3 linked regions of the Oreochromis niloticus genome follow. The protein of the gene in region 2 purifies or fractionates together with the protein of the main gene of each other region. This does not show direct contact. Links are inferred from orthologs where the notes say so. Each region holds a gene or a part of one and is shown on either strand. Other genes may lie near its edges. The genes, in order: kdr, ptpn6 and rpl35a.

The links.
Region 1: the proteins of ptpn6 (region 2) and kdr purify together in Homo sapiens (affinity purification with western blotting; 3 studies listed by BioGRID and IntAct, with this or other methods). This does not show direct contact. The link is inferred for Oreochromis niloticus from reciprocal best matches to the Homo sapiens genes PTPN6 and KDR.
Region 3: the proteins of ptpn6 (region 2) and rpl35a purify together in Homo sapiens (affinity purification with mass spectrometry; 3 studies listed by BioGRID and IntAct, with this or other methods). This does not show direct contact. The link is inferred for Oreochromis niloticus from reciprocal best matches to the Homo sapiens genes PTPN6 and RPL35A.

Annotation. Positions count from the first base shown.
Region 1 is NC_031986.2:37,676,519-37,684,335, forward strand, and holds the start of kdr (vascular endothelial growth factor receptor 2), read right to left. Parts: upstream 3,102-7,817; 5' UTR 2,857-3,101; coding exon 2,790-2,856; intron 1,870-2,789; coding exon 1,776-1,869; intron 1-1,775. UniProt on the Homo sapiens protein: Tyrosine-protein kinase that acts as a cell-surface receptor for VEGFA, VEGFC and VEGFD. Plays an essential role in the regulation of angiogenesis, vascular development, vascular permeability, and embryonic hematopoiesis.
Region 2 is NC_031976.2:23,272,410-23,279,959, reverse strand, and holds the start of ptpn6 (tyrosine-protein phosphatase non-receptor type 6), read left to right. Parts: upstream 1-4,474; 5' UTR 4,475-4,489; coding exon 4,490-4,500; intron 4,501-7,550. Other genes in the region: chd4b (chromodomain-helicase-DNA-binding protein 4), read left to right, coding at 1,177-1,379. UniProt on the Homo sapiens protein: Tyrosine phosphatase enzyme that plays important roles in controlling immune signaling pathways and fundamental physiological processes such as hematopoiesis.
Region 3 is NC_031979.2:39,856,537-39,864,016, forward strand, and holds the start of rpl35a (large ribosomal subunit protein eL33), read left to right. Parts: upstream 1-4,378; 5' UTR 4,379-4,474; intron 4,475-5,384; 5' UTR 5,385-5,418; coding exon 5,419-5,429; intron 5,430-6,857; coding exon 6,858-7,010; intron 7,011-7,104; coding exon 7,105-7,249; intron 7,250-7,480.

The sequences.
Region 1 (7,817 bases), on a different chromosome or scaffold from region 2:
TAAAAGTAAAGTGGAATTTAAAGGGCTATGTTGAGGATTGCAGAGAAAGTTTGCTCTACAATCAAAAGTGAAACGGAGGTGTTCATGTAGGCATGAAGCTAATAAATTTTGAGTCATAGTTACTTTTACTGAAACACAGGAAGAAGAGATGACTTCATGAACAACTCTGAAACTACACACTTATTTTCAGAGCTATGACAATAGAAAAAGCTGAATGTTTACACTGGAAGAACGCTAGTTACTGCATTAGCAAAATTAGTAAACTATACATTTTACAAGGAGCTGGTGGTGGACTTCAGAAGGAGTCAGCACAGAGACTACAAGCCCATTTTCATCAATGGAGCTCCAGTGGAGAGGGTGCAGTCCTTCAAATATCTTGGTGTCCACATCTCCTCAGACCTGACATGGGCTGCCCACATTCAGGTCCAGACCAAGAAGGCTAGGCAGCGCCTGTATCACCTCCGACAACTAAGGAAGTTCAGGGTCTCTCCAAAGATCCTCAGGATCTTCTATACAGGCGCTGTGGAGAGTATCCTCACACAGAACATGACAGCGTGGTTCGGGAACAGCTGTGTGAAGGACCAAAAAGCTCTCCAGAGAGTGATCCGTACAGCAGAACGCTGCTGCAGGATTGCTCTCCCCCCACTTCAGGACACCTACACCAGGAGATGCCAGACTAGAGCAACGCAGATACTGAAGGACCCGTCCCACCCTGGCAACAAACTGTTCCAACTTCTACAATCTGGTAGAAGGTTCCGCATCATCCGGGCAAGGACAGAGAGACTCAAGAAGAGCTTCTATCCTCAAGCCATCCAGACCCTAAACCAACACACACACATCCTAATAACTTGTGTTTATGTACAGTTGTTGGAACTGATGATCTTGGAAACTGCAGATTTTTAGAAATGACTCCAAGATACCTTCCAAACTTGTGTAAATGTACACTTCTCCATCTTAAATCCAAAGTTCCTTGGGCTTTCCCATTGGTCCGAGTTTTGGTCAGTCCAATGAGTGTTGTCAAATAAATCTCTTTTATGCTAGCCTAGCGAAACTACCAGTTGTAGTCAATCATGATTACAAGTTAATAGGCCTTGGACATGTAAAGTTAAAAGACATTGTAGAACCTTCGGAACCTCTTATTAAAAGATTTAACTCAACGTATATATTTGAGCATGCATGTTTTTACTTTTGACTGTGTGGATCAAAGAAAAGACTAAATAAATTGAAAAATTGTGCACCTTATCTTTGTTTTGTTTTAATCATTAAAAATGAATGCTGTGTAATCATTAATAGCCAAAACTTAGCATGACATTCATCTCCAGGATGAAACTCCTGGCCACATCTGTATATGTCTAATCCTTACCTTACCTTAATTGTAATATTAAGCCTAAAACCAGGTCTTTTTTCAAGCCTGCCAGTGAACAGCTGCCAAAGAATACCAGCACCAAAAATTCCTAACTTTTAAAAAATGTTATCAAATGGCCATGTTTTTACTTAAATCCTATTCATTTATTGACTTGGTCTTCCTGTAAAATACAGTTACTCCTGTCAGATGTTCATGTTGTTTATATGAGGAGTTCTTGAGAACCCACACTGCACAGGCACCTTTTGAACAGAGACAATGACACGCATACATTTGCTGCATGTGATGAGGGCATGAATAAGTTCTAGGGTAGTTTTGCTGTTTGGCAAATCTTTCGGTGTGAAGTAAAAAGTTTGTTAAACCAGTTTCCCCAACACTAGCTTCTGTAAGGTGTATGCATAGTCTTACATACCTGCATGTTAGTTCAAGGCTGTCAGATTTGTTCATCCTATGGATGCCATAGATATTTAGTGTCGGTGGATCAGATATAAACCGCAGTTCCGCTGCTGGAGAGATTAACAGTACAAATCAGTCACAGCAACGACTAACTTTTAACACAGTCGGGGTGATGACATCAGTCTCTACAAACAATGATTAAATGAAGGTTTCAGAGATCATGGCCCTACTGTTTTAAACAAATGCACATAAGATTAAGATTAAATCAAAAGGCACAAGGTAAAAACTGAAAGTAGAGCACAGGAAAAAACAGTCTCCATTATAAGATGTGCTTTGTATCTGAGTCTCTGGCTACATAGGGCCCTTTTTCCATTGCTGCAGCAAATGGCGGAGCTGTGTGAAAACAGGAAGCAGGAGAAGATGGGCCGGGTCAGGCTCAATAGTCTAGCACAGTGTGCCTTAGGTGGGGTTCCTGTTTCTGAGGATACAGCCTGCCCACCACCTCCCTGTGAGGCCCTAAAGGACATAATGCATTGTATGGAAAAAAACAAAAAAAACAAAAAAGAAAAAACTAAGTGTTGAGCTGAGCTGATGAAGTGGGCCTTAATGATCTCAGAAGAAAAAAAAGTTTAAACTGTTGAACAACGTAGCACATCAGCAGAAACTAGTTACTTTTTACGTTTACATTTTACAACATAAAAACAAGTCATCAGGCCACAGTTCAAATGTTTTTGCTTAAATGTTTGAAGGTTTATCCTCTAATCCTCAAACTGGACTGCAGTTCTAAAGTGACAGAAAACATTCAGCAAAGACTAAAACTATAGAACAACTGAGGACAAAGTGTTTGAAATGTCTTAGAAAAGCGGCAAAAGCTTTTATAGAACTGCAGGGTGACTTTGAGTTGACAGATTTAAAAAAGAAAAAGAAAAAAAAAGATCAAACTTAGATCATAATCTAATATAATTCATGTTTTTCAGCTTAATTCGCTATTAAGGTAGACGATTAAATGGGGATAATATTATTATCTTACCAGCAAAACAAGTGATTTCCAGAATAATGCCCAGTAGTGGAATGACGGACAGTGTCTGCGCCATCATCCGACAAAAGACAAGGACAAAGTCCTCATCAAAGTCCAATTAATAACGTAACTGTAGAAATAATGATAATCCTACTGCCTCATTACCAATCCATTAAAAAAAGCTGTTTTATATTCCACCCCAGAGAAAGTTTGAAAGTCATGAAAACAGCCTGCAGTGGATGGTGATCAGCAGTGGCTAAAGTGTGACTGTGCGTGTCCCCATGGAGCTGTTGCGGCTGAGGATGGAGAGACGCGCCTCGGCTGAGCAGCCTGCCTGCAGGGGAGGAGTCTCTCTCTCTGACTCTCTGTAAAATTACCAAGGCGAATGCTGCCTGCAATAAACTTCTGGGCTTGTTGCCCAGTTGATGGGAGGACTTACTGAACTTTGAGAGAAACTTGGGAGACTTAAGAACTAGTGACAGCCAGGATGCATAACCCCCTGCTGAGGAGTCGTAAAAATGTTTACACCATAACTTTGACTCCTAGAGTAGTAATAATCATAAAATTTATAAATTTATTAAAAGGAAAATCCCATTACCAAAAGCATTAAGAAAACGTGTGTTCATAAGTTAGGGTTAAGGACCTGTTTTCACTCCTGCATAAAAGTAGAAAGAAGCCCAAGAGTTGCTTATTCTCGCCTCCATGTGACCTAAAGCAACATTAGCATGATAGGTCAGAGAACCAAAGCCATGAGGCCTAATAATAACTAAATTCTTGTTTCCTTGTAGATTCACTATTGCTACAACCCCCTTTATACAAACAGGTTACTATGGTTGAATGAGAATAATTTTATATTTTTTTACGCTTCTTCTAGAACACAGTTAAAACGCGCACACTTCGGGTGAGGCGTACATCTCCCTGCGAACAGACCCTACGCACTTCCATACAATCACACTGCTCCACACTTTTATCCTGCCGGAGTTGCTTTGGGTGATTCTCTGGCTACTTATGCTTAACAGCCACTTTGTTAGGAAAACCCTTTAAACTGTTCCCTAACGCAAATCTTCAATCAGCCAAACACGTGGCAGAAACTTACTGCATGTAGTTTTGGTGCATAACCGGAAAGTCGATTCTTTTCATCTGGGCGCAGTGTTTTCGGTGGGAGGACTGTAAATACAAGAAACAGTGGAAAGTACAATAGGTTTAATTCATGCGCTGAAATCGCTATATTAAAGACGCAGTTGAAAACGTATTCTTCGGCGATTAGAAAAATGTTTAAACATGTCCTTTGTGTGTGCTGCAGCTTGTGAACTTAAAAGAAAGACAATGGATATCGTGGATGTTGGTTAAATATGATTTTAATGTCATTTCTATACGAAGTCCCCCTCTTTACAAATACAGTATGGTGTTGTCTAACTGTGTAACAAAAGACTGCATTGATTATCATGAATTTGAAGATGCATTAAAAAAAATTCTCGATATTTTATAATCAAATAAAACAATATTAAGATATTCATAGAACAATTAATTAACCGTTTAATTAATTCATGTAATTCTGGAATTAATGTCACCTTAATAACCTGTGAATTTAAAGTATCTCATGATTCCTGAATACAGACATTAAGTAATGTAACAACTGTGTTACAATTTGGGCATTTTAGTCATCATGATTATTCACAAAAAAAGAAAAAAGCTATTTAGGCTTTTTCATGTAAGTTTGCAGTTCCTGGGACAGGCTGAAAATGGAGCAGTAATGGTGAAATGCAGTATGACTGACTAAACCTAACTAATGACTAATGTCCCTCCAATGCTGATCTGGTAGCTTTTTAATACTTGGAAATAAATTACAGCTGTAAAATAATCAAAGTATTAAGCTTTACTAGAGACACAGACTGGGCCTTTTTACAGGGTCAAATATATCTGTGGATCAGGTTCCATTGCCTGCCCAAAGATATCTGTTAAGGTTTGGAAAAAGAAACAGATAATCTGGGACAGTGCCAAAAACATGTCAGGAAAGCAGGGCGCAGCTTATACCAAACCCAAATGACATTTACATTAGGACTGCTGCCTTGAAAAGAGGAAAGGGATAAAGGTAATACCTGGAACTGATTAACATCAGATTGTGTCCCATTTTTGTATTTTTCCAGAACTTCAAACGTGTGATGAATGTAGTGCTTCATCTGATGAGGAGGGAGGAGGCTGTGTTTTGATGCTGGCGTGGATTCAGGAGGGTTGAGGGAGATGATTGAGGGCTGTGTGTTATGCGCTGCATCCACATGTTTCCTGGCCTGGTCACTTCTACTGGGACTCTCTGAATACTAAACTGCCTAGCTGCCTTGTAACCATCATTTCCTGGAGGACAGTCTACACTGAATTCCCTTCTGGAAAAGCTGGAATCAGAAACATTTTTCCATTTTTCTATCTCTGTTTATTTTCTAAATCCAAAGAGAGGTGATTGCTTTGAACTCTGGCCCACTCACAGACAAAGAGAAATGTTTTCATAGTTTAAAGCATTTGAGCAAAGGAGAGGAAAGAATGAGCAGTGTGTGGTTGTGTGGAAGAAAATATTTTACTGTATTTTGCAATTTTCCTGTAAAATTACAATAACATAATAATAATACTTGTTATTATTATTATTATTAGTAGTAGTAGTAGTAGTAGCGACTGCTAATTTGTCCTCCATTAAACTGTTGAACTAAAATCTACAAAAGAGATACATGGATAAAATGTGAGCTTAATGGTATAAGACTGTCAGCTGTTGTCAGCTGTGACTTAATTAGGTACAGCTGTCCAACCATTCGTTCAAGTAAATATCTAATCAATCACATGGAAGCAGCCCATTGTACTCAGACATTTAAACATGTTACAACCTACTGAAGTTCAAACTGAGCATCAGATGTGGCAGAAAGCTGATTTAAGTGATTTTGGTTGTTTGTGAATAAGAGAGGCTGGTCTGTGTATTTCAGAAACTGATGATCTGCTCAGCTTTTCCCAGCAGATCATCAGTTTCTGAAATACACAGGCCAGCTTCCCCAGGACTTACATAGAATGCCCCCCGATATCCACTGAGCAGCAGTTCACTGGAAAAAATGTCTTGCTGATGACAAAGGTCAGGGGAGAATGGTCAGACTGGTTTGAGCAACACAGCAGCTGTTCAAAGCACTCAATGCAAGTATGTAGAAGAGCATCTCCTTATATGAACTTTGAATATGTTGAACTTTGAATCAGATGGACCACAGCAGCAGAAGACCACAATGTGTGGCAGTCCTGTCAGCTAGGACAGGAAATGGGAAACTGAAGGGCTAACAAGGCCTCAAAATCGGACAACAAAAGATGTGAAAAATGTTGCCTGGTTGATTTCTGCTGCCATATTTTGACAGTAGGATCAGAATTTGATCTAAATGCATTTATGGTTCAGGCTGGTTGGAGTGACGTAATGGCATGGCGGATATTTTCATGAAACATTCTGGGCTCCTTAGCACTTACTGAACATCATTTAAACACCATAGCCTTCCTGAGAATTGTTGCTGAACATGTCTGTTACGACCCGGTTTTGCTAGGGGACAGGGAAGGTGGCATAAACGAGACCCTCACGAGGGAGATCAGTTAAGACAAAGTTTTATTTACAGAAAAAAACTCAGAACTGAAAACCGATAGCGACATTTACTACAAACCACAAGGCAAATAACCAATACAAAAATAACTTGCTCATGTACAAGTAGAAATTAAAGCTAGCCTCATGGGCTGTAACATGACTAAACGCTATTCAAACAAATTCCACACCTTAAACAGGGTTTCACAAGCTAGGCTCACAGACTGTGGGGCAAACTGCACATTCAGTTCAAAGCAGCAGCCCCTGAATGAAAGTTCTTCAGCCCTTTTGAAGGCACAGGTGTGCACAATTGGTTGCAGATTGATCTCTCTCCCTGGAGGTGCAAACCACAGGTCTTCAGGCAGCCAATTGTCTGTGTGGATTGTCACATTCGAATTGACATGCAGGAAGGCTAGCACGGGTTCCCAGACAGCCAATCGTCTGTCGGTGTTGTCACGGTTGAATTGGGGGGATTGAATTTGTCACGGTTGAATTTGCTTGAAGGAAGGCTAGCTCACTTCTTCCAAGGCCAGGAGCCATAACAATGTCCATTCCCTTATGATCACAGTGAACTGTCTTAAGATAAGATAAGATAACCTTTATTAGTCCCACACGTGGGAAATTTGTTGATGGCTTCTGATGGCTGGTTCCAGCACAATGTCACAAAAGTCAAATCAAATCAAACTGGTTTCTTAAACATGACAGTGACAGTGTACTGAAACTGCCTCCACAGTCACCAGATCTAACTCCAGTAGCTCTTTGATATGTGTTGAACCAGGAGATTGGCAACATAAATGGGCAGCTGACAAATCTGCAACAACTGTGTGATGCTATCATGTCAGTATGGACCCAGATCTCTAGCACTAGTTGAATCTATGTCAAAAATAGCTAAGGGAGTGCTGAAGGTAAAAGGAGGACCACCTAGTAAGGTGTAACTAATGAATCTATACTTTGAACCTGTACCCTGTGTTCAGGTTTTTGTCTTTCCTGGACGAAAAATTACAATACCCCATATCACAGGTGCATGGCTGCTTCTGTATGGCTGTCACGGTTCTGGGCCATTGACACATTATTTTGAGTTTTGTTCTGGATTTTTTGTTGATTTCTTTGAAAGTATAACATAAATGATGTTCTATTTCCTAAGTATGTTGAGTTGATTATAGTTGATTTCTTGTTTTATGATTTTAGTTCCCCCTTTGTGTCCAGTCTATCTCTGTTTCATCTCTGTCCTGTCATCAGTGTCCCCATGTTTGTTTACTTCCATAAGTTCACACACTATATAACTATATCACACATCCATAACAATCATGTACTAAATAACCATTGCAAAAATGTTAAATGAATGACTGTAACTTAAACATTTACACTGGAATATGCCTTTGGACTACTTAACATAAATATGGCCCTAATATTATGGGCAGAAATCTGTGCCATCAGAAACTGAATTT
Region 2 (7,550 bases):
GAAGCATGTGAGTCTGGTGAAAACAGTAATGTTTAAAGGTCATTTGAATAGTGAATGAATGATGAAGAAATGTATTTATTTCACAATCCAGTGGTGATGAAATGGTGAAAGTAATGTGTTTTTTTTCTTGTGTTTTGCTTTTGGTGCTCTGGTTTTTGAAATGCTTTCTCTGTATTTTTCAATTCTCTATGTTATTTTGAAAAACTGCACTACAACGATTAGAATAATTGCTTTTTCATGTCTGGGTCATGGTTTTTTGAGTTGTTTGACAGTAGACAACTTCAGCTACACACGCTGTTTAAAAACAAACAGAGGGAGCGTTGGAAATTTTTTAAGGCAGACATATTGGACATTCTTCAGTGCTTTAAAAGTTCCGCTTCAATTGCTTCAATTACCAGAGTACGTTTTCTGACTGAGAAAAGGGCTGTGTAGGTAATGCATTTCAATCTGTAGTAAATATTTGTCCAAAAACTCCATTATATTCCATCATATTTTAACTCATCACCAGTATTGTTTTACTTTACATAAACAGACATTTCCGCCATAAACAAAAATTAGCATCAAGTGCAAAAAACCCCTGCATCCACACTGTACAATTACATTGTTGTCTAGAGGTAAACTGTCTCAAATTCAGGAAAAAGAGCCTTATAAACTCACAAATATGGATTCAGTGCATCTTTAATGGGCCTGGAACGAGATGAGACACTTTTGCCTCCAAGCTTGATTTCACACAGAGCTCAATCTGGGAAATGTGTAAGGTTTATATTTGTCGTTATTTTATGAGTGTTGGTGAAATGTTACAAATGGTACTGAAGGAGAGATACTGTGTAACTCTTGTGCTCCATATTTAATTCAGTTCAATTCCATTTTATTTACACAGCGCCAATTCACAACAGCAGTCGCCTCAAGGCGCTTTATATTGTAAGATAGACCCTACGATAATACATACGGAGAAAAACCCAACAATCGTACGACCCCCTATGAGCCAGCACTTTGGCGAGAGTGGGAAGGAAAAACTTCCTTTTAACAGGAAGATTCCTGTTAAAGTTTTACAAACCCATCCTTACTGTTTTCTGTCCCCTGCTGCTTTTTGGCATGCCACGCTGTTAATTTTAACCAAAAACCAAAATTTGACTGCTCACCCCTGTTATGCCGATTTCTGTGCTGCATTTCTAGTTCTCAAACAGCTCGAGGAACTGCTGAGCGACATGAAGGCCGACGTCACCCGTCTCCCAGCTACCATCGCCAGGATACCCCCCGTGGCCGTGCGGCTACAAATGTCCGAGAGGAATATTCTCAGCCGATTGGCCAGCCGGGGCCCCGAGGTCACCGCTCAGAACCAATCACAGACCGCACAGCAGATGCAGGTGCCGCGCTGACCAATCCCCTCGCACATTTCACACTCCCCAAACGAGGCCAGTCGCACTCACCTCACCGCCATGTAGCAGAATTCCTCCCCCTCAGCCACCATGTACAGCACAGTCAGGTTAGTACTTCTTCCTCTGCACCCACAACCCATCTCCGGACTCAGAAGAGCATCAGCTGTGCTGCTGGACTTTATTTTGAAAAGACTGGGACTGTAGATGTAGGGTGGGAGCGAATGTAAGAATCGGTTCTCTTTCTTTGCGGCAGACTAGATACAGACGTCTTTCTCCTCCACTGGGAATCAGATTGAACCCCTCTGTCCTGAACACTGAACTGACCTGTCCTTCCAGCAGGATCTAACATGTGTGTGTAACTATATGTATAATGAAGCAGAAGAGGCTTAGACCGGAGGGAAAGCAGCATGTTTGGAGTATACTGGTGCTTTGTGGTAACTTTTGGATTATTCCAGACTTCAAGGGATTTTATTGTGCTTGTTTTCACCTTTAGGAAATTGTGAAATTTTTGTTTGTATGTTTTTTTAGAAGTCATTTAACTCTAATGTCCTCATCTGTATGTGTGTATGGAGAGTGAAGGTGTGTGTGTTTTCTTGTATGTATGTGTGTGTTAAACAGGGCATAGTGACATGCATCTCTACTGCAGAATGCCCCGACACTGAGAAGGTGTTACTGTCACTTTTGTATCAGTCAGTCAGTCAGATCTGTTACCTCTTCTTCCGTCCTTCTCAAACTCTTGCCTGATCCGACGGGTGACCCAGTCGGGGATCAACTCTTTGTGCTCACAAACCCAAACAGCACCTTGACATTCCTAACTGCACCACAGATTTGCTTCATGGGAAGTCTCCTGTAATACAAACTCGCAATAGCTCCCCAGCTTTTTAGGTACATGGGATGGCGTTGAGGTTGATGGCAATCTTAAGTTAATTTAATTTCTTACTGTCTATTGTTATGTTGTTTTGCATTATTGAATATTATTATTATGGTTACCACCCTGTTGTTTTTATCATTGCTGTTTGTTTTTATGGACTACAATAAAAAAAACTCAACAGTTTCTTATTGTTACCACGTTTTATTTTTAAACTGATTATATACGTTTGGTTCTCCTTTTTTTCTTGAGCACTGCATTCTTCTACTTCTGTTTCTAGCCATGTGAGCGTTGATACTAAAGGGATGGCAAGTTCTGTGAAGAGTGACAACGCCAAACTCTGCGTGGTTTACTGTTAAAATTTATTTAGACACTAGACACGTTATTCATAGGTTCATTTTTAGTAAAACCAGAGTTGTAGACATGCTACTCGAATCTCAATTTAAACAATCAGTTTAACAAATTTACCCAACAAAGTGGCCACTGACACTATATATATATATATATATATATATACACAGAAAACTCAATTTTCTCTGGTTTTGCTTTTTTGCGTCTCCTTGCAACGACAGTTAGCATGAGGTGATTGTACCTGCAGTTATTTTAGGTTCATCGGTAATCCAGCTTCTCAAGGATGGCACATTTTTGACACATTGTTGCCTCTCCACCTCTGTATCGTGTTCACATTGGTTACGCTTCCTAACAGGACAGATTGATTTCCCTGAAGTTTAACTGACGCCGTGTCGTACTGGGATGATCGAGTGCTTCCTTAATTTTTTGAGCAGTGCCTCAGAAGACGCATCTGCATGGATGATGAATGCCCGGCTGTCATAGAAAATGTAAACATACATATTTCAATTAAACCGTCAGCTAGACACAAACAAAGGTCTTTAACTCACAGCAAAGTATAAAACGATTGATTTACTTAAACCTCGGTGAAATAAATAAAGTAACATTTCATTTATTTCCCGTTTAAAGAGACACAGGTAACACTGAAAATGACCTTAAATTACTTTCTTCAGCCATGTGTTCTTTCTGGGGGGGAAGGGGGCGTGTCCCTGTCCTGTTTGCCAACATGCACGCGCAAGTTGCGTGTACGCGAATGAGACTGCGAGATACCCTCCTGGCTTTTTCCTCTAAGGTCACCATGAGGTTTGTGTCTTTAGTAAAACTAGTTATGAGACAGAAATAAATGAAGTTAAAAAAAAACCAAAAAACACTCCTGAACTGAAACCTGGGGGGAAATGAAAGATGGTGGAAGAGGTGTGACTTCCAGGAGATTTTTTAAACCTTATTTTGAGTTAATATCAGCAAAAAAAGAAAATGATTCAGATAAGTTATATCTTATTTATCAAGTGACCCTTTATATACAGTTTTAGCTTCAAGTTATCATTGAAATACAATCAAAATGTTAGAGAAACTAAAAACAAATGGTCAGTTTCTTCTAGAGGGAATTTTATGCTAAAATTACACGATAATCCATATCGTCAAATGTGCAGAGGCCTTACTACACATCCACTCTTGTTTCTAAGTTAGGTTTCAAGGTGTTCAGGGACCATTTTAAAGGAAGTTGGCCATACATGTTCAGCCGCGCTGTCACGAAGTGGCTCAGATGGTCATAGATTATTATTTTCCTTTTTATTTTTTTATAAAGGGGCGTTAAAAAACTTGCATTAAGGAAGGTTTTTTCTTTAATTTGTAACGTTTGCATGCACAAAAAAAGTGCACGTTCAGAACAGTCTGATACTGTTCTCGCACACAAAACATGCCATAATTTGCATGCAAACCTGGAAAGACAAAGTGGAATTTACATGGAAGCAAATGCAGCGAGGTGGAAAAACCTGAGAGAATTTGTGTATGGAAGAGTTTGTTAGAGGAAGAGCAGAGAAGAAGCGGGGCAGGAACAGGCACATTTTCTTCCACAGATAGAATCCTAATTAAGAAAATTGGAGTAAATTACAGGGCGGGAGGGTTACTGGGCCGGTAATGAAGCCTGATATCTTATCATGAAAGAGAGTGAGCCAGAGAGGAAGGCTAAACTTGAGCGAGACTGGGTGTAAGGAAAAAGGGGATTTAACCTGCGCTCAAAATTCATGAGCTGAATGTTAAAGTAACCTGATTCCCTCTGTGAGTTTTACTCTGATCCGTGGCGGAGGAATATTCATCATCGGGATTTAACCAACCATCACTTCCTCGTACAGACTAAACTAGCCGTAGTGCAAGGGGGGGTGGAGTCCACATAATGTCTTGTGGGTAAGTTTCTTGTGCATATGTGACAAATATTTAATTTTCTTTTCCCGCTGCTGCTTTTAGGTGTTTGCAAAACCTTTTTTTGTAATTGAGCTTCTGTTCTACCTGTTTCTACTGTTGCTACTTTACTTTTTATGCTTTGTCTGTTCTTTTCTGTCTCTTTGAAGACTTTGGAGGATATGCTTAACCCTCAAACCACCAAGCAGTGTTAAATGCTAAAATTACTAACTTTTTTAAAACAATATTTTATACAAGAATGCTTTTTTAAATGGCTTTATTTGTGCTTATTATACCTATACGGCTTCCCTAATCCATGACAGATATTCTGTCCTAATGTAATTAATTATAGTTTTCCATCATTTTTATGAGTATTTGCATAAACAGTAGTTAGTATTCTGCTAGTTCACAGCAGAATAGTAAAATGTGATGATTATAAGTGGAAAATTACAGTAAAGTCAGAGATTACAATGTTTAAAAAATTGCCACACTAATGGATAGATAGAATAGCTCTTTACTGTCATTGTACATGTACAACGGGTGCTCCACACCAACTGTGCAGGAGCAAAAAACAAATATAAATAGTAAAAAAATCAGGAATAAACGGCAAACAGAAGAGATATATACAGCCTAAAGGAATATATACAAAACAAGAGAAAGGCACACAATAGAAAGCAAAGTGCTTGGAAGCAGTGCAAAGGGACATGGTCCTATTAAAAATACAAAAAGCTGTCGGAGAAGTCGACAAATTCATGACAGGTGGCATATTCATGATTAAAAATATCCCAGTGGCACTTTTAAATATACGACTGGAATCATTTGATGGAGTAGATTCTGTCATTTATGACTCCAGTTGTTACAGTGTGGGTGGAAAAGTCTTTTCTGAACATCGTGGTTTGTAGTGCCGTTTTCATATATATGCTATAAACACTTATTTAACCAGTAAGCTTTGGAAACAAAACAAAAAAAGCGAAACAGAGATATGACAGCAGGAAATTATGAGCAGGGAGAACAAAAAAAACACAGTCCGAATCCGAAAAAACAGGTAATAAAGCTCCAAGATCCCCAAGGGGAGTGAAAGTCTGTAGTTTAAGGACAGTTTGGATTTCCTTCAGTCTTTGTGGTGCATTGTAGCTGAAAGCAGATCTGCAAATATCTCGAGTATTCACTGCGTCTTGAATTGTAGTTGCAAGATTTAAATATTGTGCGGTGGCTTTATAACTGAACTCAGGCTTCTGGACTTCACTTTTGCTTGGCTGAAGAAAAGGAGGTCATAATTCAGTGTAGTTCTGAAAGCAGATCTAATGTATTCAAACATTTGCTCACTTTAGTCCCTTACCTGTCACTCATACTTGCATTACTTCTGTATAGAGTTTGCATTTTCCCCCTTAGTCATGCAGGTTTTCTCTACTTTGCATTGAAAAACTCCCTGGGTGCCTTAACCTGCCTGTATGAGTGCATGACACTCTTACAAAAGAGATTCTTTATTTCAAGAGTGTCACTTCCTGGTTAGATAAAGGGTAATAATATGGAAAATAAGCATTGGGTCATTAATCTTGGAAAACATCCAAACATGTCCAAATGGGATTTGCCTTTTGTTTTTAAAGTATTTTTTTTTTTTTTTAGGAAATCAGGTAACAGACATATGGAAATTAGAGTCTACACATTCACTCACCAGATACTTTATTAGCTAAACCTGTCTAATTAATTCTTAATGCAGCAGCTCAGTGCATTAGCTTATATGTAGATGTGGTCAAGATGACCTGCTAAAGTTCAAACTGAGCATCAGAACAAGGAAGACAGGTGATTTAAATGACTTTGAACATGGTTTGGTTGTTGGTATCAGGAAGGCTCATCTGAGTATTTCAGAAACTATTGGATCTATTGTGATTTTCCCACACAACCATCTCTGTGGTGCCTTGTTAATGTCAGAGCTTAGAAGAGAATGGACAGACTGTTTTGAGCTCATAGAAAAGCAACAGTAGGTCAAATAACCACTCATTACAGCCACAGAACAGCATCTCTGAATGCACAACATGCTGAACCTTGAAGCAGATAGGCTACAGCAGCAGCAGAAGGCCACACCCAGTTGTCACTCCTGTCAGCTAAGAACAGGAAACTGAGGCTATGATTTACATGGGCTCACAAAAACCAGACAATGAAATATTAGAAAAACGTCGCCTCATCTGATGAGTCTCTATTCCTGCTGCAAAATTCAGATGATATCGTCAGAATTTGGTGTAAACAGCCCGAGAGCATGGATCCATCGTGCTTTGTATCAACATTTAAAGTGGCTGTTGTGGTGTAATGATGCAGGGATTAATTCTTGGCACACTTTGGACCCTTAATACCAACTGAGCATGAACACCATAGCTTACCTGAGTGTTGTTGCTGACCTTTATGACCAGTGTGCCCGTCTTCTGATGTCGGCTTCCAGCAGGATAATGTGCCATGTCACAAAGCTCACAACTGGTTTCTTGAGCATGACAATGAGTTTTCTGTACTCAAATGGCCTCCACAGTCACCATCTCTCAATCCAATAGAGCACCTTTGGGATGTGTTGGAATGAGAGGTTCACATCATGGATGAGCAGCTGACAAAGCTGCAGCAACTGTGTGATGCTGTCAGATCAATATGGACCAAAATCTCTGAGGAATGTTTCCAGAACCTTGTTGAATCTATGCCACTAAGAATTAAAGCAGCGCTAAAGGCAAAAGCTCAAAGCAATATTTGGTAGGAAATGCAGCCTAAATGCTGCCCGACTGTTCCCCAATCAAAGCGGTGGCATTTAGTTTGAAACATACAAAAAGAGAGAGGAACAACTCTTCACTTTTAGAAACAAAGAAGTTGTGATTGTGAGGCTAAAAGAACAATTTCTGTCACCAATCACTAATATTATCTTAGCTCTTCAGGCCTTTAATGAGCAGAGCAGAAGTGCGTGTACTGTAAATTCCTCTAAACAGAAACAGTTTGATGCATTGCAACATACTGATGCATTGCAACACTCAGCAGACTGACCAAATCTGGGAAACATCCTTGTTGTCACTCTGAGGCGG
Region 3 (7,480 bases), on a different chromosome or scaffold from region 2:
CTTATGTCGAGCTAACCACAGAGGGTAGCTAAGATGAAGTCAGGTGAAGGTAACAGCTTGTTTCTAATCTGAAAACAGTCGACGATGGCTTAGTTTATAGCATGATTGCTAAATGCTAATGTTACAGTATTGGGTTTGAGCATGCCCAGTACTGATATTGTCAAAGTAATTATTTATTTTTCCTTTTTGTTTTTGTTTTTTTTAAAGTTTATTTAGTTTTAGTTTTATTTATTTTTTTTTTATGCTTTTAGTTTTGCTTTAGGGGGCGGGGCCACTCTTCTGCCACTCATCCACCTGTGAGCTACTTGCTCACAGTTAATAATAGCCCAAAAGAAGCAGCGAGGGCAAAGTGTGGTTCGGTTCGGCTCTGTTCGTCTCCATCTTTCCTTATTATGGTGAACACTTTCATCTTGCCGCTGATGAAGAGGAGGATGTCTGAACCCTGAACTCTGAATGGCAGGATGTCGTCTCTGTATAGTTTTTACTAATGTCACTGTGGTTTAGGTCAATCATGTGACCTGGCTTTGTGATCACCTGATCGGACCTTTGTCACATGTACAGATGAGGGTGATCGGGTGGTTTCTGTTGCATGCTGGGACGTTTTTCACCTTGTAAAGGTGGCCCGACTGTTGTGTACAATTATATCCTGTAAATAGAAACGTACTGATGATGCTCTGTATATGAGGCCGAAACCTGGGTGTTACTATGACAACAGAGATGTTCGTGTTGCCATGGCAACCATGGGGGGGGGTTCTTCTCCTGTCAGTGAAGTAAGCAAACCGCTGCTGTACTGTAATTTTATTTATAAAAGTTTGTCCTGACAACAGTGATCAAAGCGATACCTGCTTAGCGTCTCACTCCAACTGGAGCTCCAAAAGGCTCCAACTGCACAAACACAGTCAGGAGGTGCAGTTCAGGTGAAGCAGACTGCTAGCAGCTGTAGCCGCCTGTGTCACCATCCACCTTTCAGTCAGAAGCCACGCCCCTAATAATGCAAACAGGTGTCATGAACGGGCCGGACAGTTTGTGTATCAGGCTGTAAACGTGTGTGGGGCTGACTCACTGCTGCCTCTGCTGGACATTAGAGGAACTGCAGCACAGTGAGCCTGCCGTCCTACAGTGGGCATGGCCTCTGTGTACAGTGATGTCACGTATCTGAGCTGCTGCTGCTTCACTGACCGGAGGAGAAGACTGTGTTTTTAATTTAAACTGTAAAGATGAGTAAAAGGGGCTGGTGCTGTGTTCAGGTGGCGTAGGACATCAGCATGCTGACACTACACTAAACACTTGCTGAAGTCTCAGCATGAGAGCACAACTTGAACAACCTGAATTATGACAAGCAGGCTGGGCCCCGCCCCCTGAACCACCTCCACCAATCAGCTCATCTTCAGTGGACTCACCTGAGACCTGAGTGAACCTGATGGGACAGGTGAGGCGGCTTAGAGGTTTCAGACAGGTGATGATGTACAAATGTTTTCTTCTTCAGGCGCTCGTCTTGTGGCAGCAGCGGGTCACGTAACGGGCTGTCAGATGGGCGGCTGTTTTTCCACTCGTGTGTTTTTGCTGTTTCAGTCATAAAATAAATATTATAATATGGCTTTGATGCTTTTATTGTGTCAACACCACACACAGGAAGTGGTGAAAAACATGTGGCCAAAAAACGAGAACGCCATCAGCTGATTGTGTTCATACTGTAAATGTTTCCTATGTTTTCTGTTTTTCTCTCCTTGGTGGTTTTTTGTGTTTCTGTGAATAAAGTAGAAATATTTGTCACAGATGAACGTCACGTCTGCAAGTCTGTTCCCGGGTCAGGGCGCTGGGACAGGAAGTGCCATCTAATATAATATAACACCGATTCATGACTGAAAGTATTCATGACTCCATTGGACGAGCTACGACGTGTCACATCAGGGCTGTTTATGAAGAACAGTCTGACTTTACATTCTTTAATGACACGCAGTGTGTGCTCCCATTGATGCTGCAGTGTCCTGGAGTGAGGGTGTTATTAAACAGCATGGTTTATTACAGTACGTGCAGCAGTGTCCTCACAGGAAGCTCTGAAGCCCCAGGTAACATGTTGCTTTAAACGGTGTCATATCATTCCTTATCAGACACAGTAATCACACCTCCCAAATCCTTGACTCTGAATTTCACATTTATTTAAATTCAGCTTTAATCCTAAAACTTCAAGCACTTTGGCAGCAGTGGAAAGGAAGAAACCTCCGGCAGAACCAGGCTCAGGGAGGGGCGGGGCCATCTGCTGCGACCGGTTGGGGTGAGGGAAGGAAGACAGGATAAAGACATGCTGTGGAAGAGAGAGATTAATGACAGGTGAGAACAGAGAGGGCACCATCATCAGCTCACTGGGTCATTGAAAGGTTCAGATGCTGGTCAGCTGGTAAGGAGCGATGGCCCAGCCCTGATGAAGATGATGTTGATGATGAAGGTCATCTGTTTAAGGAGTGAGGTGTTGATCAGACTTCACGTGTCAGTGGGCAGGCGTGTAACCTGAGCCTCACTCACCTGCTTCACTGTGAGACGAAGCAGAGCTCTGCTTTAATGTGAGGCTGTTCCAGCTCACAGCGCCCTCTGGTGGTGACCTGACTGCCAGCTCCATGGATCATCTTTCAATGTCGAGGTGTGAAACAGAGCTGATGATTTTAGCTGTTCCAAACGCTCTTGTGATGAAAGAGTGACTTTATGGTTTCCTCATTAATGAGTGTTTATTCATCATTATATTGAAGATGCAAGAGCCAGGGAAAGAAGCAGCTTTTACAAGACAACATAGGAGCAGTAAGAAGAAAAATATACATCACTGAAAACAATAAGAATATATAATGACATCATCTTGTTGTTATGGCAGCAGGTAACAAACAGACATCCCATCAGTTATTAGCTTGTGTGTGTGTGTGGAGATGGGAGCGGGGGGAGCTGCACAGTCTGCCATCATCATCATCATCATGACCATCTTAGATGATGACATGAGTGGAACCCCAAAGTGTGCTTTGATTGTAACAATGACATCAGGCTCCGCCCCCTGCACTACTGAACAAAACAAAGTATGAAAAGGAAAGGAAGAGCAAAACAGTAAAGGATATAAAAAGGTCAACATATACACATAAAGTAAAGCATTAGTTAAACAACAAAAACATATTGCACACAACAGCATCTGCTGGGTGGGATTTAGTGTTGTGGAGGCTATGAGACGGAAGCCGGGCCTCAGCCTGAGTTTCACTGCTCTGGTGTCTCCTGCTGATAGCGGCAGATGGAGCAGGTCGTAGCTGGAGATGAGGGCCTCTGCGTTCCTGAGGCAGTGGAGCCGTGCAGCTCTGCGTACACACAGGGGTGATAGCACCTCACGCTGTCGCTGGGCAGCCAAAGGACATCAGCAGTTTCTGGGGAATGGTGTTTGTTCCTGGGGTGACATCGGATAAGACTCAATCCTACTTCATAGTGCAGACCTCAGGTGTCTGCAGGTGAGACAGCTGATGGAGAAGCTCAGAGAAAACAGACTGTAATCAACGTTGGAGTTCTGGGTAAACAGGTAACGCTGCCGTTCAGACCAATCACCACACAGTCACAAGTCCGCCCTCTTATTGATACAATAAAGTCAAATATTTGTATTTTAATTCAATGTCATTTCAAATCAAATCACTTTTATTGTCACATCACATGTGCAGGTACACTGGTACAGTACATGCGAATGAAATTCTTGTGTGGAAGCTTCACAAGCAACAGAGGTGTGCAAAATACAAGAAACATAAGAGCAAGCAAAATATAAGAATGGGAATCTGAGTACAAATATATGTATATGCACATTACTGAATATGTATACTAAATATGTGTGTGTGTGTGTGTGTGTGTGTATACATATATATAAAATTAAATGAAAATAAAATATACAGAGGTGCAAAACAAGTGGCATTCATGTACAGTATGGAGTGCATAATGTTGAAGTTACGGTAAGTGAAGGTGAGGTGTCTATGAAGTGTTCAGCAGTCTGATGGCCTGTTGGAAAAAGCTGTCTCTCAGTCTGCTGGTTCAGGACCGGATACTGCAGAACCTCCTGCCTGATGGAAGTAGTCTGAACAGTTTATGGCCAGGGTGACTGAATAGGTTACATCATCATTATTATTATTATTATTATTATTATTATTATTATTATTATTATCATATTCAATAAAGCACGTTCATGCGGTGGATTTTGAAAATTAACTTTAAAAATATTACATTAACAAAGACAAAAACATGAAGCCATAAACATTTATTATTATTATTATTATTATTAACGTGTGTATTATGAAACTCTGTAAAAGTGTTTTTAATTGTTTCTTTGATTACATTAAAATCTAAAAATAAAATAAATAAAACGAGCCTTTCTATTCAGGCAGCTCCGTGGGCACCTCTGTTTACACTAATTTCCCAGCATCCCTTTCGCTCTTCCTTTTTCTCCTTCTCTTCGGACGCGGTGCAGGTACGAGTCAACATGTCCGCCGGCACATTCTTGAAAAATGCCCGTTAATCTGCTCGGTGGGCAACTGATAGTCCTCCGGGGGGCCGGAGCAGGAGCCCCGGCGCTGCTCGGTTAGTCTGTGTCTACGCTTGAGCTGCTGATGGCGGAGATTCGCTCCGGATAGAGAAGCTAGCCTCGGCTAACGAAGCTAGCCTCGGCTAACGAAGCTAGCCTCGGCTAACGAAGCGCAGGGCCGGGGTTAACCGAGCGGCTTCCGAGCTGCGCGTGCCGGCTCCCGCACACGTGCGGTAAGGAAAGCGTGTGTGGGAGCCCCGGTGCTCGCAGCGGGCTGGAGCTCCCCCGATAAACGCGTCAAACCTGAGGAGCCACCGGCCTGAGCTGTCTCCAATTCTCGTAGTTTCTCGTGAAATAATGAGACGGAAAGAGCCGAATGTTAGGTTAGGTTAGGTGCTGTATGAAGGGAGCCATCGGTTATCGATCAGTGACGGGCTGACCGCAGAATCACACGGATTCCAAACGGCACTGTTTCTGTGACAACCTCAGACACTTGACCTGTGGTCCAAGATGCCTCTGAATAAGTCACGTGACTTTTTACCTGGTAGCGTGGCACATGTTGATTCCACATAAAATGTTTTTTAAGAGCAGTAAATGCATCAGGTCACAGAACAGCATGCTCAGTGTTCCACTTGTAAGGTCATAGCTGACTAAACCTACCTACAGTTATCAGGGCCCGGCACTATAAAGTCGTATTATTGGTTGCCATGGTGATGTATCCTCCTGAAAACACTGCGGGTACAAAGTCTAGAGCTCAAGAAAACATGCTGGTTACCGGCGCCGTAGCTCTCATGAGCCGGTCGATCATGTGATGCTGCAGTAGGTTTTAGGTGTTAATGTGATTGTTTCTGTGCAGGTGAAGTCACCTGAAGAATACCACAACGACCAAGATGCCTGGAAGGTGAGTGCCAATCATTTCACTCTGTGCTCACATGATGTATGTCTGTGTGAGTGATGTAACCTGCTGAAGCTCTGAAACAGGTGAGGGCAGACGGGTGTTAACAGGAAGCGAGTTAACCGTGAGTGCAGAGCGACTTCCTGTCTGCTGTGCAGTGATTCTGGGATGGGTTTAATAAAGTTTTATTCAAACAGGCCGTGATCTGTCAGAGCTGCTGTTCCTCGCTGCAGAGACGCTGATGGTGATGATGTCATGGTTGGAGGTTCACAGATGGAGCGTTTTAGGCTGAAAAAGTACCTGTGTAAACGCAAAAAACAGGGAAACGCTGTCAAGAGCATGCCAAAGCAACAGGTGCCGATGTAATCCTAACATTGTTGAAATGTTGGCCAATCAGAAGCCTGGGAGGGAAAGAGTAAGCATAATTGCCGTTGTTGTAAACAGAGGGACAGTAACTCTGTGTAACAGCAGCAGTGTTTTGTTTCTGTCACTGTAGAAGTTCATCTCATGTGAACAGTAACGTGTCGCACACCTTTGATGTTGCGTGACTAAATCTGTTTTCCTCGTTCACACGTAAACACCTTAGAGTTGGGTCCTGGTTGCTATAGAAACAGTTGAGGGCGCTGTCAGCAGGTCGTTGCTGATGATCTGCGGAGCATGCAGGTGAAGCAGGTGCAGGGTCACGACCCCCGAGCCTCACAGATCGGAGGAGCAGGGTGAAATAACCACAGTGACATCAGCTGGTGGAGTGGGTCACGCTTTGGCTCTGATCAATGAGAACTGGAGTACTGATTGGTTGTTTTTGGATGCTGACAGCAGATAAATTAATACTTGATGTCATTGATCTTGATTGGTCTCAGTCCAGAGCGCCACAGGCCTCTGGGGGTCAGGTTCACCCGTGGCTCCTCCCACTCCAGCTTATTGACGATGTTGATCGTGTCAGCTGTTTCTGGGCTGATTGATCAGTCTGTTTACTGATCATTCTGCAGGTTTGATTGGCTTCAGATGTTTTAAGGTCTGCTGTGATGGGCAGTGTACATCTTTTATTTACAGGCTGTGGACTGGGAACGCCGAGTTTGGATTGGGGCTTTTATTCTGGGCTGTTGGCGTGAATCAGGAACTGAGCGGGTTAACGATGATGTCAAAGAAATACGGAGGGTAGCTTCGTTGTTGTGATTTATTTATTTCCCGCCTCCTGCGTTTGGCGACTGTGGCGTGCAGATTCTGCGTGTGATGGAAGTGTGAGCCGTGGCGGCGTGGATGCGCTCCATCAGCTGATGTCTGGGCAAAAAAGAAACACCATGCTTTGACGTTGGTGAAACCTTCGGTCGGGCTCGGTCTGGAGCGTGAGCAACTCTTTCCATTGGTCAGATTTGGGGGCGTGGCAGCAGGTGGTGGTGGTGATTTTGATGTCTGATGCTGTCTCTCTTTCAGACTGTGGAGTAAGGCCATCTTTGCGGGCTACAAGCGCGGCCTGAGGAACCAGCGCGAGCACACGGCGCTGCTAAAGCTTGAGGGCTGCTACAGCCGGGACGAAGTCGACTTCTACCTCGGCAAACGCTGCGCCTACGTCTACAAGGCCAAAAAGTGAGCTGCCGCACCGCCATCTTTCATTTACTGTTAAGGTTGGCGTGTTTCTAAGTGTGTGTGTGTGTGTGTGTGTGTGTGTGTGTGTGCGCAGGAACACGGTGACACCCGGCGGGAAGCCCAACAAGACCCGTGTGATCTGGGGGAAGGTGACCCGGGCGCACGGAAGCAGTGGGATGGTGCGAGCAAAGTTCAGCAGCAACCTGCCAGCCAAAGCCATCGGACACAGAGTCAGAGTGGTGAGTCACATGACCTCAACAGCTGGGGTCACGACCTCACAGACGCCTCTCTGCTGCTGCGGCGTTTCTGTGTTCTCTGCATGCTTCAGGAGCAAAAGTGCGAACTTTGACCTGCTCCGGCTCAGAGCGCCGTCTGAGCATGCTCGGTCCTGAAGTTTGATTTATTCACCATGAAGCGCCAGCCACAGCTGGAGGCATCGTTTACAGGCGACGTTCTTAATTTATAACATG